Caenorhabditis elegans: one gene and its partners. The protein of the gene in region 3 interacts with the protein of the main gene of each other region in a pairwise test. Each region holds a gene or a part of one and is shown on either strand. Other genes may lie near its edges.

Region 1 (3,530 bases), on a different chromosome or scaffold from region 3:
ATTTCCAATAATGACGTGAAATCTTAGAATAATATTTGAACATTTAATCAGGAATTTCAACCAACTACGACAACCTGAGCAACAAAAAGATGGAAATTAAAAAATAAGTAGAAACCCGGTTTTCGTCCGCTGGAAAGCGCGGAACATTATCATTTCAAACGATTAATATTCAAAATAAATTATCAGGCACTTAATTTTTTTTTTTTCAATTTTGCAGAACCAATTTCGAGAATTTAGATTTATGAACATTTTGTGGTTAAATTGTTGCGCGAAACGTGCCTAAATTGTGTCTGAATGCTTTTTCAATTTGTTGTTGTGAATAGCCTTAAGTAGGTTCAGTGTTCAGTGGAAATTTATCAAATATCAAAGATTTTAGATGTTAGGCAATTAATATCAAAAGTCAACATAGATCACTATATATAATAGAATTCAGCTCATCCCTTTTTCTGTATTATGCCCAATAATATATTCATTATTGTTTTTATTTTGTCCACACATTTATGACAAGTTTGACTAACTATTGACAAATACTATCCAAATTTAATTACTGACTATGATTGTTTATTAAAACTTTACCATGAATTGGCAATTCAAAACATGTTTTAAAACGAAAAAAAAAAGAAAATATTGAAGGATCAAAAGGAAAACAAAAAAACAATGTGAAACAACGAGATTCAGGTAGACATTAAAACTTCAGAAATTTGACAAGAAGTAGGCGGTGGAATAGCTAAAGATTAAAAAAGACTATGTCAAAATATCCACTAACAGTTTTGACTTTGCAACTTTTTATGGTACTTGGCAGCAACGTATTCCTCGTGAATCGATAATGACTTCTCATCGACATCATCAAGAAGATCAAAAAGAGCACAGCACAGTGCATCCATTTCTTTGTTTACTCCCTTCTTGCAATTTTCATAGATTGTCTTGAGAACATTTACGCGTTCATCGTGTGGTGCAATGATCGAATTCAATGTGTCCAAGCGCATCTGTGAAACCGATGCCGCAATTGATCGGAGTGCTGAAAATTAAACAATATTAGTGATAATTAGACACTGCTCTAAACGAAATATAAATTTTGCTTGCATGTTGATAAACAGTTCCGCTTGCCATTAAACATCAGTTTCTCTAATAAAATTTATGTTCAAAATTTAGAAATGCTTACTCTCTGATTTCCACTTGAAGTATGCTTCAAACTTGTGGTGAACTTGAGATCTCGCCAATTTGCAGTAGTACAGTTCGTTTACGAAGTTGCTATTCTCAGGTTCTGGTTTTTCCGTCTTACTGAGAGACGATGAAGCGGAGCAATGAGAGCTCTCCGATGAGCATGACGACACTGACGATTCTTGTTTTCTTCTTGACATGATTCTCGTCTCACGACGAGCTGGAGATCTACTCTCCACATCGAGATTGTCTTTTTTGATGTGAGACTTGATAATCGTTAGGCCAGAAAATTGGCGGGACAAAGATCGGAGAATGGGGGTCTCGACTAGTTCCTTTGCTTCGTTCTCGTTTTCATAGAACACCTCGTCGTTTTCATTTTTAGCATTCTCCTGCTCGTCAAAATTTTCTTGAACATCTGCCTTTTCTTCTTCTTCTTCATTTTGGCTCTGTTTCAGAAAAGACTCCTTCCTGAACACAGGACCATCGCACACATCTTCTCCTTGCTCTTCTTTTTCGGTCTCATCAACAGTCTCATCGTCAGTTCCGCCACTTTCAAACTTCTGCACCAATCTGCTCACTTTTCGGAGGCTATTTAAAGTTTCATCATGAAAGGCTGACTTCTTTTTATCTTTGTTCGGGGTAAACATGATATCCTCCATCGCTTGCCTATAGATTCCAGCGTTGGAGTAGGAGAAGTCATTGCAACACGACATTGTTGTACTGAAATTTAAAAAAAATTATAGGTATTGTATAACCAGTTGAAAAATTGAGAACGTTAAAAAAATGTGGAACAAAAGAGTAAGATTGAAAAAAAAAAGTCCAAACAGTTGTTTTCGAGACGGAGAATAATTGAGAGTGTAAACAGAAGACCATTCGTTCAAATACAAAATGAAGAAAACGAGGAATTAGATATTTTTACACTTATTTATATCGATCGATATTGCTAACGCGACATTAGACTCTCATCCCACTCCTTTCCCGACTCTTCAACCCATAAATCGTCAGAGGAAAACAACATGTAGCAATGGGAACATTGACACCCTTCCAAGTTTGGCAGATAATCTTTGTTGACTGCAAAACTAATAACTAAAAACTGCAGCTTAACAGTGAAATCAGAAAAAATTGCACCATTTAATTTTGTTCTGTTGTTTCTACAGGCTTCTTCAAAAAAGTGACTGTCCACTATCTTCAGATTTAATTGAAAAAAAGCATAATTCAAATTTGGTTACTATATAACGCAACTTTGCTTCTGAGAAAAAAACAATAAAAAATGCATTAACTTGTAAGATTGAGAACACAAAAAAAAACGATTAGGCAACATTAAGAGCAAGAAAGAGGAGAACAATGGGCGAATAATCCAATATGTGGGAAACGGCATCTGTTGCAACTCATATCGTGACTGAATATCGGCTGACCTTCCCATCTCACCGCACAGTTGCGCTCATTACGCAACGAACGCTTGCACACAAAAAAGTATTCGATTGACTCGCCCAAACTGCGCACATCATTTACAACCACTTGCGTTGCGTGCACCGATACTGTCTGTCAACCACAATTTGTCTTTATTCTTGACAACGTTACGTTTTTACCCCACCTCTCGCTAATGTGTCCGTCTCATCAACATTTTATCTCCAATACGTTTCCTGTCATTTATCATTAATTCTGGTTTATTGTAGACATGAGTGAGGCGTCAAAATCGATTATGGATCTGCTGTCAGAAGTTGTCAAAATTACCGACATGACTATGGATAATGAAGCTGTCAATAAATTGTGAGTTAGATTTTTGCTTATGTGCTGCCATAAATCGAAGTTTTCAAAAAAAAAAATCAACAATCGTTATGTGATGGTTTGCGCTTGTTTTTTCTGATATTCCTATAATAAAAATTCTCAATATTGTTTCATGGGCGTGTTGATGATATAAGTATTCAAATCAAAATTATTAATAAGTTTCAAAATTTTGGTCAATGTTTATAGATGTTGATAACAAATGTTCATTCATACTTAAAATACTTTGATTAGTTTACGACTCAAGAAAAAATAATGACAAGATATGCTTTTAAGCAAAGTTTCGTAAAACATCAAATGTTTAATTTTTTTGATCAGCTTTTGTAGGCAATAGCCTGTCTCTAATTTCTTTATTTGAACAGTACCGCTCCTTAAAACATTGCTCTAGTTCAACTATCATCACAAACTTCTTGAAAACTATTTTTTGGAAAAACTTTCTTAAGCAAACTCTCCGCTGGAGTGCTTATGTTTTTCTTTCAACTTCAGTATTTATCATAATATTGTTTTGGTAACTATACATTTATGGAGAAGTTGCGATAAGATGAAAACCAACACTAGAGATTACTATCAAGATACAAAAAAGA
Region 2 (7,384 bases), on a different chromosome or scaffold from region 3:
TTTCACAACAAGAGACACTTTTTTCAGGTTTAAATTTAAGAACATGGAACGTTTTTTTTTCTTGAAAAATTTCATGTATACCGTACCAAACCTTAATCCAATACAATAACTCACTAAACAATCGTCATCCCAGTAGCATTTTACCAGACAATTGTCCCAATTTTCTTGAATTTCTGAGTGATTATTGTATTCATCTGTTTCACCGTATACTACCATCATCTTCAAATTAGCAGTAATGAGCCGAGGAAGCACGAAGATTAATAGAAACAAAAACATTTTTAATGAATTTTCGGTTTGGAGGTGAATTGAAAAAAATGTTCGTAAAGTTTTCATCGAAAACGTTGCATAAGGTCTAAGATTCTGTATTTGTTATTATCGAGCTCGTAAAACATGAAAGTTTGTATGTAAATATATATTCCGTGCATAAAAAGTAGGATATATGGTAGCAAGTTTTGTGAACTGATCCAAAACCTAAATTTGAAAATAGTTTTATTGATCCATCCCTGGTGTGTATACTTTTCTTGTAGAAATACTTGACGAGAAAAAAGTAGTCTTCCGATTTATTTTAAACAATATAGTAACAATTTAACATGAAATTACACCATTGTGGTTTATAAACAGAAGTAAGTATTTGATGAGTAAAGGATGCTAATATAAAATATTTAAAGAAATATAGTACAACTCGTAATCAATGTTCACAAACAGGCATTTCACAGATATTGGGGAAATGAGGGGGAGATCGTGCAATAAAAAATGAAATTATTCTTTGACATAATTTCCGGGGAAAAGACCAACTCGATTGTTCACTTTTCCTTGCCACCATCCAGAAGCATCTGAAATCACAAATATTTAAAAAAATAGTATTCTTATAGTTATGACAAACCTTTGTTCATGAGTTCAATTTCAGCTCCAGCTTCAAAGCTGAGCTCATCAACATCTTGAGCTTCATATGGATAGACAGCAATAACGACAGGATTAAGCTTTGGCTTTGCTGGTGGAGGAGGTTTTGGTCCACGCGCTGGCGGAGGTCCTCGTCCAGCTGGAGAGTTTCCGTTTCCAGATAGATTCATGTTATTCAACTGATTTATGACGTTTCCCATCACTGGAATTCGCGCAGGTTCTTGGCTATATTGATGATTAGTCGATACTGGAGCTGGTGTCTGATTGTAATTGTTATTCATTCCATGAGCGGGAACCTGAAATTTGAAAATCTAAATTACAATGGAATTAATTTTGAAAATCTTACCGGAGCTCTCATTGCCTGAGATTGGCCATTTTGTCCATAACTTTGATTATTCTGTTTCGTTCGTCGTGTTGATGTTCTCAATTGATCTCTTCGCGGGGTGTACCCACCTTGTGGACGTTCAGTTGATGGCCCTGAAGATTCAAATTTTATTCGTAACTTCTATATTATTTAAAGAAGTTACACGCCACTACAGTTACAAAGGTGGAGTAGCGCCAGTTTGGAAATAGTTAAACATGGTTCCAAAATAACCAAATATCATAGGAAAACTTTTCAAAAGAAAAAATTGAAAGTCAAAAAGTGACAATAACCGAGTTTTTGCCACTTTTTGAGAAAACTATATCACTGTCGCATCCCTACAATGTTTGAATAGTAATGTTTAAAACATACGACCGTCAAATTAACAGGATAACATTTTTTGATCGACGACTTCCAACAAAGTGGAAAAACTGAGACTTTTTCAAATTTCAAAAAATCATGAAAATTAAAACATTTTTTGAACTTTTTACTATGATATTTGGTCATTGTGGTCAGGGCTTTTTTTGGTTTTTTTGTTGGTATTTTGAGTATTTTGGGGTATTTTGGGGTATTTTGGGATTTACAATTTTTTAAAGCAAAATGTGTTCCTTAATGGTTTTCAATGATTTTTTTCTAAAAAGTTCAAAATATACCAAAAGTCGACTTTTTTTTTGTTTTTTCACAAATTAAAATTTTTTTGGTCCCAGCCTTGATTGTGGTGCTATAGGCAAGTTTTAAAGCAATTTCCACATTGATCCATCTTTAATAAGTTTTTTGTTCTGATTAGTTACAATTAAGATAATTTTTTCAAACATTCTCGACTCACTTGTAGTATTCGGTAATCCAGTACCAATGCTAACATTCAAAACTTTTCCATTTGGTTTCAATGTCTTCTCTGCAGACGAAGTTCCATCGTTTCCAAACTGAACCGTTCGTTTTCCATCGGAGAAATCGAATTTCATCTTTTTGTAACTAACAACATGAGAACTACGGAAATCGAGATGAAGAGTACCGTTTGTTCGTTCTTTATATGCTTTTCTAAAATTGAAGAATACGTAACTTTGAATTAGTCAAATCAATATAATGCGCTTACGAGAGAGCTGTACAGAATTCAGTTTTGAATGGTGTTTCGAGAAGAGAAGAATAATCATCGTTTCCCAGATATAATATCACAAAATCGTCTTGATATGGAGATAGACCAATTGATTTGATTTGAGGTAGATCAAATTGTCTGAAATTTTAATTTTAAACTAATCTTAATAAAATGGAAAAATCATACCTTTTGATAACTTCAACGATCTTCCCCTTTTCGGGACCATTCTTCACTTTTTCTTTTCCAATAAGAGTCAAATGATTGACAGTCAAAAGTAAATCAAGTTTTGTCACCTAAACATAAACGATTGATGACTAATAATTAAACTCAAATTTACCGTACCCTAAACTTTCTATCATATTTGTTAGCAGTGCATGCAAACAGCACTCTCTGACGCTTGCCAACCAGGGACTGAAGTGTCGGATGATGCTCTAATCCAATGTAATCTCCGACAAAGTTTCGGTTTAATGAGTAGCGACGGCGTTCCTTTTTTCCATACATGAGGTCGGCAGCTTGCTCCTGAAATAAGAATTTATGTTTATTCAATTTTTTATTTTTGTTGGATTTTACCTTTTGCTTAATGTGCTGCTTTCTAGCCGAGAATTGTCTCCAGGCTTTTTGAATGACTCTTGCGTAACCATCAAACTTGCGTTCACGAGTCTCTTCCAATAAAAACAGCTGGAATGTATCTATTGCATTTCGATATTTTGATTTAGAAAAACATACCGATTCGGGATTCTTTACAAATATCTTAGTTTTTCCCATCTGATACTGATTCTTTTCCATATGAACTGAATCGCAGATTATCTCACAAGCTCTTTGCTGATCTCCTTGGAAACATGGCCACGTTTGAGGAGAGACGATGGCATATCGTTGGGCAAATTTGTCGAAAGCTCTTCGATATGCAAAACCAGCTCTTCTCACTCGAATATTCTCACGAAGACCCAAATATTCAACCTGATGCTTCACTCGACTCTCTTCCCAATCATTTGGTCGTTTTGTTTCATTTGGCTTGATACATCGTACGTAATGAGGTGAGCATTTCATCAGGGATTCCACAAGAGTATTAGCTTGAGTCTGCAATTAAAATTAAAAATGTTGACATTTTATTACTAAAACATACTCGAATCTTAGTTGAGAATGTTGTTGGTCGTTTTCCAGCTGACGCAGCTACATTTTCAGGGAATAAAGCTTGAATGAATGGGCTGAAAAAAAAAACCAAATGAAATAATAAAACAAAACACACATTTAGAAAATTAAAACCTTACCGTGAAGACTTTTGCATGAGTAGAATAAGATCTGGATAAAGAACATCTCTGTTTCTATCACAGAATCCATCTACATTATATGTAACATCTCCAGCATAATGTTTGATAACGAATGAATCTGAGCCAGGGCCGAAATGGGGATGTCCAGCAAATGATTTCGAAAGAGTCGTGAGCAATTGACGATCGACACCTTCTCGTTGTCCATGATTTTGAGCACATGTATCATCAAGAAGGCTCATTATTCCAGGTGGACGCTTCGTTTCAATCAGATCACACACGATTTTGTTATCGAAATAATCGATTTCTGTCCATTTGATTCCTTCACGAACATATTCTTCCTGTTCTGCTTTTAGCGTTAATTCGATGAAGATTTGTTGAAGTTTTTCATTGACAAAGTTGATACTGAAATTCGTATTAATTTCATCAATATTAAGGTTTTCCAAAAACAAAAATAGGAACAATTCGGTTTTTAGACAAACTGGGTCAATCATTTCAGTAGAATAACTTAAACTTACCAAAATTGTTCAAATCCATTATTGTTGAAAATTTCGAAACCGTAGATATCAAGAATTCCAACAGAAAAGTTGTCTGAAGTCGATTGTGAAGTGATATTCATTGCGTCATTCACTTTTTTTACTGTAATTTTTTATACATGGAAAGAAATTTTAAATGAATAAGCTAACCAAGATAATCGAATAATCTTGCGTAAATTGCTTTAACCCATGCGTCTCTGGTATAGCTCGCCTGCTCAACGTTAAGCTTCATATCGATTTCTTCCTTTTGTGTACCCCATCTGAAAATAAATTGAAATATTTGAAACTAATGTGAAACTGCTCACTTGCTCTCCATTTTACGACCAGTAAGCTTTGCCTCAATGTCTGCACTAGTGAGTCCCAGAAGGAAGGCAGGATATTCAAGATCTAAATAATTAAATGTAAAGTGATATATCTTAAAACAGTAACTCACAATCTTTTCCACTAACTGCAGCAAAATTATTCTCCTCGGTGAAAGTGATATTTCCGATATGGAGAACAGTTGCCACAATTCGCAAAACTTCTAATTGATCTTGATCATTAACACCGACAACTTTCATTGCGTGCTGGAAAATATAATATTTTATATAAAACGGGGAAAATAATTTCTGAGTTCTTGTTGTACAAAATCGATTTGTCTGATCATAAATCTTACCAGGGTGCTCTCAAATTCCTTCCCATCGTCCGTATCGTCTGCTTTGAAAACTCCACTCATATTTAAATAGTTGTAATATTGAAGTTCTCCAATTCCGAAAGTACTTCTCAAGTTCTTGTCTGCGCCAGCGCATAATTGATAAAAAACATGGAAGTTTCGATCTCCTTCATTTTGATGAACAACTCGAGACTTTTCCAAAAGAAAGTTGGAAAGCTGAAAAATTGTTTGTGAAAAATTAGCAAAAAAACTATTAAAAACCTACTTTTCCACCAATAGGTTCTCCACCTCGACTGAACACAATTTCTACGTATTTTCCAAATCTCGAACTGTTCCAGTTACGGACTGTTGCACTGTTTCCGAAAGCTTCGAGAAGTGGATTTGATTGCAAAATAACATCTTTGATGTGCTGAAAATTCATAGTTTCAAAATCATACCTCTAATCAGTAAATTTACCTGAACTTTCTGCCCTCCTCCCGAAATACGAGAAATATAATTCATAATGAACTTCGCGTTGACTGTTTTACCGGCACCGGATTCTCCAGATATAATAACACATTGGGACTCGTTATCAATGAGCATATTTCTGAATTTTCAACTTTTTTAAAAACATTTTTCATTACATTGAAAACTATCTTACCTGTACATGTTATCAGCCAATGCATAGATATGTGGCGCATTTTCATATTGAGCAGCTCCCTGATATAGAAGCATTTCTTTCTCCGTAAAATATGGCATTTGTTTGAAGGGATTTACCGATATCAGTACAGGACCAATATATGTCTGAAATATGAAACATTAATTATTGGTTAGGCTTTAAAATTAACTTTAGCGATTAAGTTTCTTGAACCAGCAAAAAAATATAACAATTGATAGAAAAGCTTCTAAACTTACAAAAATACTGTTAGCTTGAAGCCTCTTCTTTAAATTTTCAACGATACTTTGCTCTGTGAGTTTTGGCAGAAGGACCATGTCATCGACCCCGACATGCTGAACATTGACTTTTGATTGCCAGTGGAACGCCATAATGAACCACCGGCGTATTTACTGAAAAAAACAGACATAATTCCGAGAAATGGGGAATATGGGAAACAAAAAGTCTAAGAAACAGGAGAGGGGATTATAAATGTCGTTTTCGACCAACTTGTCGCTTTTTTATTACAGTTGAAGAGTAAAAGAGAGAGAGTAATCCGGTAATTTCGTTTATAATAGAAGGTAGTGAATTCATCGAGCGAAATGAAAAGATTGATGAGTAGGAATTATGAACTAGAGGAGATGAATGAAAGTTTCTCGATGAAAACCAAAATTTTAAGAACGGATTTAAGACAATTTAAAATTGAAAAATATTAAAATTTAGAGTGAAGTAAACAATTTTAAATAAAAGTCAAACGGGTAGAGAATTTGAGAAGCGACAGACCAATTGAGGTGAGACGATTGACTTTTTGGAACGAAAGGAGGATGAACAGAAGGAGGTGACCACTTTCCAATTGTGCCTGTCTTCATTTACATCCTTGCCACCTTGGAGTGTGACCTTCAGAAATCGCGGAGACATAGATGGACACCGTTAAGTTTCGTTTGAACATAAAAGCTGTGGATAGAGTGTTGAATAATTTAAAATTATTCTAACAGAATTCAAAGGTGTTTTTGAAAACAGTTTCTGTCTAATGAAACGCATTCTAGAATTTTTACTATTAGTATAAAGTCTAAAACAAAAGATGCATGAAGAACGAGAGACGTAGGCAGTCAACACAACACGATGACTCATAAGCAAGAGGAACATATTTTCAATTTCACGATGACCACATCTCTGATCTGTTTGATTTTAGATGTGTCAGAAATGTGTAGGAAACATGGAAGGAGTGTTTAATATATTTAGTGAGTTTCAGAAAAAATTGGAAGAGGCTTGAAGATACATATTAGAATATTTATTTATGAATTTTGATTTGAGCAAAACATTAGACGGATGAAAAATAGAAAAAAATCTTTGAATAAGTTATGAAATCCTGACAAACAGCTGCAAAAGACAACTAATTCAAATGAAACAAAATTAAAATTAATTTTAAGAGGACTTTCAAACTTGCGGAGAAGTTTATCTTATGGAAAAGTTATTTTTAGGAAATCTTTTACATTAAGCTATTAATCTAAATTTGGTTTATATAAATTCATATTTAAAAACAAATATAAACTTTCGTCATAATAAAATATGTTATTAATAAGCATTCAACAAAAAACTCCGCCTATAAATTCAGAAACCGTGCCCACGGAAGATAAATCGCAATGTGCAAGTGCGCCCTAACGAAAACAGCGCGAAACTTAAAAATTGAAAGCCAATTTTCTACAAAACTCACTAATTTCAATTTTATCAAAATTTTGATCAAAACTAGGCAAAGTGAGTCATTATCAAAGTTTTGTTTCATTATCAGAGAAAAATGAAAAAAATAAAATGTCGAATTTCACTCGAAAAGACCAAAAGCCATGACTTTTTGCATTCATCAGTGAAAACGTCTCGGGAGTGCCAAACGGCACAAGGAGATGAGAAACATGAGTATATGACGAACAAAAATGGAAAAAAGTGAT
Region 3 (4,814 bases):
ACCCATCTGAATGAATCCGTGCGTCTTTAAGTTCACATTATAGTATTATGGTTCCAAACTTAAGGCCACACAATAGTTCAACACACGTCATTTCTAGCTAAAAAATATTATCTTGAATAACTCAATGTTCAATAGGAGAGACGAAAAGATAATTTAATGTATTTTCTGTTGATACTTTTAACTATTAATTTTGTTTATTAAATGTGATAACTTCCACTATTCCATAAGATGGATTCAGTTACATTTTTATTGCATTCAATTGTTGTTTATATTGGTGCGCAAGTCCAATCGAATGCGTTGTCCGTCTATCCTCAAGAGAACCGGTCTTTCCGTTTCCTCGACTTTTATCGATTTTTGCATTGAACTGCGTGTTCGGTTTGATTTAAAAAAGGTTCTGTATTTTTTAATTTATATTTTAAATTTGAATTTTCAAAAAACTTTCCAGCTACATTTCGAGTTCTCGTCTTCTTCAAAATGTCCAATCTTTTTGACAAATAAACTCATGTGCCTGGACCGCACTCAAACAAACGTACATGCAATCTGAATGTTACATCTTTTCTTTATTTATCTCAAAAAATTTGTATTTACCCAAATACTCATTTAAATAGCCACAACATTTTTAGTCATGTTGGTACCCTTGAAAAGGTTGCTCTAAACTTTAAATTGTCAATTTGAAGCTCTATTTGAGATGGGGTGGGCTCTGGGAATCTTGTTATCTGCTCACTGGGTTTTTGTCGGTTTTCTTTCATTCTAAAGCAATTCTGGATATTTTTGAAATTTTGATTTCTGAAAACTTTCCACTTTCCACTTTCCACTAACTACTATCTTTTTTCTTCGTTTTATTTCAAAAAGAAAGAAATAAAGCGAAAAATTATGTTAACCTGTCGCTAAATATCGGAAAATCTCATATTGGCTGGGTACCGCCACGCGATGTATAATTAAAATAAAATTTTAGTGTGTGCGCCTTTAAATGTTACTGTAGAATTTTAACAATGTTTTTTTAACTATAAAAACAATTAATTTTGAGTTAAATAACAAAATAATGGAACATTTTAAAAAAATTAGAAGACACAATAATTTTCTTTCCGCAAATAAAATCGAAGAAAACAAGCCTAGAAATTGTACAGTAACAGGCGCAGACACCAAAACTTTATTTCCAGCGCGCGCGGCGAGACCCATCCGCAGACATGCACCTCCCTTGAAACATGTTTGAATTTTTATTTTTGTTTTGTTTCATTTAAATGCATTTTTGAACATTTTCAGCGATTTTTAAAGATTTTTTCGTCGTAAATTCCGTAATAAATTTTTCAGAAACATGCTCAACCTTTGCCTACATTTTTTCGCATAAAATTTACCATTTTTGAAGAGAATCGCAATTTTAAATGGCATTTGCAACATAAACTATCTGCTCCGCAAGCCTCTTATCATTTTCCCTCGCTTTCTGTAAATAATTGTGTCAAAGCTCTCGTTCTCTCATTCTCTTTCGAAAACGTTCTCTGTCATTTGCTTGCTCGATGTTTTATTTTTCGGCAAAAAAAACCTAGCGCGCAAGGAAAACCCGAGGTCAAAACCAAAAATATTATTCAACACCAAATAGGTATATGATGCGGAAGTCTAATAATTGTTTGGACAACGTCCTTTTCTATTTGCTCACCGAAACGTAACACTGAGCTTCGCGCGCGCGCTTCGTCCACCGCTCTCCACTTATAGTACGAATCTTTATTTCATTTATTGAAATGTTGTCGTTCGTCAAACGTTCTAAACAACCCGCATATTTCAGAATGCCCGGCGAATTTGCAAAGTTTCCGGAGCAATCAGGTATTTTACGAAATAATAATAATTTTTTTTAAAACTATGTTTTTAATTTCAGCTGGATCTCATCAATTTCGTAACCCACTCGATGAACTTACGGGATCAAATACAATAACAAATTTAACTGCACACGATTTTGATTATTTTACACAGTCCGAGAAAAATTCAAATTTATATACAAGTGAAAATACAAGCAATTCTAACAGATTAAATCTCGTAAGTAACATTATTCTTGCTAAATCGATTTTTAAAAATTCGTTTTTTTTTTCAGAATCAAAATATACCGGTCGGCACATTAATAGATGGATTTGAGCTTATTAATGAAGCTTCTGGCTCCGGCTTTTTAGATGATCAATTAGTGGATGTTAGCGATTATAGCCGAGATAGGACGACGAAGCTGGATAGGAATAGGAATTCTCCCGAGCTAATAGTTGCTCTTTTGCAACGAAAAGTTCAAGGAATTCGATTTTCATCGAATTATGGAAGAGAGGAAGAACCATGTGTTATTGAGGTGATTGAAGTGGATTTAAATGAGGAAAATGAGCCAAAAAGACCGAATAGCGATAGTTTTCGGGGAAAAAAACAGAATTTCATCTAAAATCGCCAATTCTCCGTGTCGTAGCTGCCGAAATTTGATTTTTATTTATTTTTTGTCATCTTTAAGTTTTTTAAACGCTTTTTTTGTTGATTTAGGTAATTTTTGAGCCGATAATCGATTGATCAACGGAGAAACAACCAAAATATGAGAAAAAAATCCGGCCGACACTCAAAAGCGTGCATAATTTGATGTTTTAGCTGAAATCATGTTTTTGTAAAGCATTTTGGAGAAGTTTCGTTATGAAATTTGGTCTTTTGCTTATTTTTTCCACAATTAAACATTTTTAATTTTATTTTCTATTTTCAGATCCCACCAGGAACAATGGTTCGCGAAATGGCAGATGATGATTGGAAAATGTCTGAATTAAAAGAATGGTTCACAAAATCAAGAGCTTCTTCGCATTTACGTGATGGATTAGCAATGCCCATGGAGGTATCGTAATTACCCTGATTTTTGCGGCTAAAACTACGGTAGCGGGTCTCGACGCGACAAATTTAAAAGAACTGTAATTCAAAATTTTCGTTCCCGGCGAATTTTCATTGAATTTGTATAGTTTTTCTCCAGAATTCTTGTTTTTTTTTTTGAAAAAACGATTAAAAAATCGATAAAAATTCCAAAAATTTGTCGTTTCGAGATCGGCTACCGTATTTTTGGCACAAAATTTTTCGTCAAATTAATGCCTTTTCAGTTTCTCAATTTTTTTAAATTTCAGGAACTCGACTGCACTCCTCTGATTTGTGCAATGATTACCAGATCCGATGTAATGAGAATAAACCAAGATCAAGCAATGTATATTTATTATCTTTATAAATAAAATTTTTTCCCTTTTCAGACATCTTCTGGCTGTCAGTGTAGAGAAACGAATAGAAGTTTATCAAAATTTCGAATGGTTCAATTTCATTCTGAATCTGAAAATTGGCGATTCTGTTTCTGTGGAAGTGGTAAGTATTTGAAATTATATGTTTCTCAAAGGAATCTAGTTTTTAACCAAAAAAAAAGAAAAATAAAACAACGAATTCAAAATAAAGAGACGCAGACGAGAAATGGGCGTCTCCTTGTATTCAGAATTAGACTGTCACACGTGACTGATTGAAATTCCGATGGCATGACTAACTTATAAGTTTCTTGAAAATAATATAATGGGATAGGAATTAATGGCCCACGAGTCACATTTTTTGCTAGGCCTCTGTAAATTCCGCTCTGACAAAGTCAATTTTCCGGCTTTAATTAAAAAAAAAAACGAATTTTTTTGAAAATCGAAAAAAAATTGGAGTCTCTTGCTCGAATAATGAAATTTTTTTGTTTTTTCGAATGAAATAGTGATTGTGCCTCATCTTAAATAGTTTACTAGTGTCCAAAAAATCGAGAAATTTTCGTTTTTATTTTTTATTCTCAAACTCTCGATTTATATTTATCTCTTCTGGTCCGGGAAAAAATTAAATCCGGGAAAATTTCAAATGTACAAAAAAAATACATCCACATAGATTATGATACTTCTGATAAAGGGTGTCGTTTTTCGGTTTTTCCAAAATAGAAAAATTGGAAATCGAAAAACAAAAATTCTCGATTTTTCGAATTTTTAAAAATTTCGGAAAATCGAAAAATCAAAAAGACAATTTTTTTTCAGAAAATTAACCATAAAATATGATTTTTAAAGTTTAATTTCGTTTACATTGTTGAGAAAAAAACAAAACAATTTATTCTAAAATGAAGAACAATGAACAAAATTTTAAAGCTAATTTTAGAAAAATCGAAAAATGAAATAGAGAACCGGTTCACGATATCATTGACACTGACCGAAATATGTTTTATTGAACAACATCGAGAGGGATTAAGCATACAGTCGGCAGAAAATTGAGAAATTCTTTCAGTTTTAATTTTAATTTGAATCAGAAGCAAGGGCGTCGGGTTTTCAATTTTTGAAAAAACTAAAAATCGAAAAATCGAAAACTTTTTAGAAAAATCGAAAAATGAAAAGTTTTCGATTTTTCGATTTTTAGTTTTTTCAAAAATTGAAAACCCGACGCCCTTGCTTCTGATTCAAATTAAAATTAAAACTGAAAGAATTTCTCAATTTTCTGCCGACTGTATGCTTAATCCCTCTCGATGTTGTTCAATAAAACATATTTCGGTCAGTGTCAATGATATCGTGAACCGGTTCTCTATTTAGTTCTTTCTCTCTCTCTTTTCAACACAAAAAACATAGAGTTCCTCTTTCTCTGTGTGAAAGTATAAGTTATCCTCTTCTCTCTCTCTCTCTCTCTCTCTCTAACAAACTATTTGCCTGTTTAGTTGTTTCTTTCTTTCCTCTTCATCGTCTCAACCAACTTGTTTCTCATTTCATTGGCGACGCCCTTCCTTCTCCCAATTTGTTGTCATCGAACTTGAATTGATTGAAACAAAA

The links.
Region 1: the proteins of cyld-1 (region 3) and F17A2.13 interact in a two-hybrid assay, tested with the Caenorhabditis elegans proteins (one large-scale study listed by BioGRID).
Region 2: the proteins of cyld-1 (region 3) and hum-1 interact in a two-hybrid assay, tested with the Caenorhabditis elegans proteins (one large-scale study listed by BioGRID).

What each region holds. Positions count from the first base shown.
Region 1 is NC_003284.9:12,320,010-12,323,539, reverse strand, and holds F17A2.13 (uncharacterized protein), read right to left. Parts: upstream 1,884-3,530; 5' UTR 1,875-1,883; coding exon 1,163-1,874; intron 1,019-1,162; coding exon 762-1,018; 3' UTR 547-761; downstream 1-546. Other genes in the region: Homeobox protein ceh-40, read left to right, coding at 2,840-2,931.
Region 2 is NC_003279.8:8,845,263-8,852,646, forward strand, and holds hum-1 (Unconventional myosin-Ie), read right to left. Parts: upstream 5,855-7,384; 5' UTR 5,834-5,854; coding exon 5,702-5,833; intron 5,591-5,701; coding exon 5,448-5,590; intron 5,394-5,447; coding exon 5,264-5,393; intron 5,217-5,263; coding exon 5,073-5,216; intron 5,024-5,072; coding exon 4,811-5,023; intron 4,722-4,810; coding exon 4,589-4,721; intron 4,543-4,588; coding exon 4,461-4,542; intron 4,416-4,460; coding exon 4,306-4,415; intron 4,259-4,305; coding exon 4,138-4,258; intron 4,025-4,137; coding exon 3,623-4,024; intron 3,560-3,622; coding exon 3,478-3,559; intron 3,432-3,477; coding exon 3,081-3,431; intron 3,033-3,080; coding exon 2,925-3,032; intron 2,874-2,924; coding exon 2,697-2,873; intron 2,648-2,696; coding exon 2,541-2,647; intron 2,493-2,540; coding exon 2,355-2,492; intron 2,300-2,354; coding exon 2,088-2,299; intron 1,378-2,087; coding exon 1,247-1,377; intron 1,197-1,246; coding exon 884-1,196; intron 834-883; and 3 more. Other genes in the region: F29D10.3 (PAN-3 domain-containing protein), read right to left, coding at 115-219.
Region 3 is NC_003281.10:9,907,625-9,912,438, reverse strand, and holds the start of cyld-1 (ubiquitinyl hydrolase 1), read left to right. Parts: upstream 1-1,780; 5' UTR 1,781-1,781; coding exon 1,782-1,818; intron 1,819-1,870; coding exon 1,871-2,028; intron 2,029-2,083; coding exon 2,084-2,323; intron 2,324-2,716; coding exon 2,717-2,842; intron 2,843-3,122; coding exon 3,123-3,199; intron 3,200-3,242; coding exon 3,243-3,351; intron 3,352-4,814.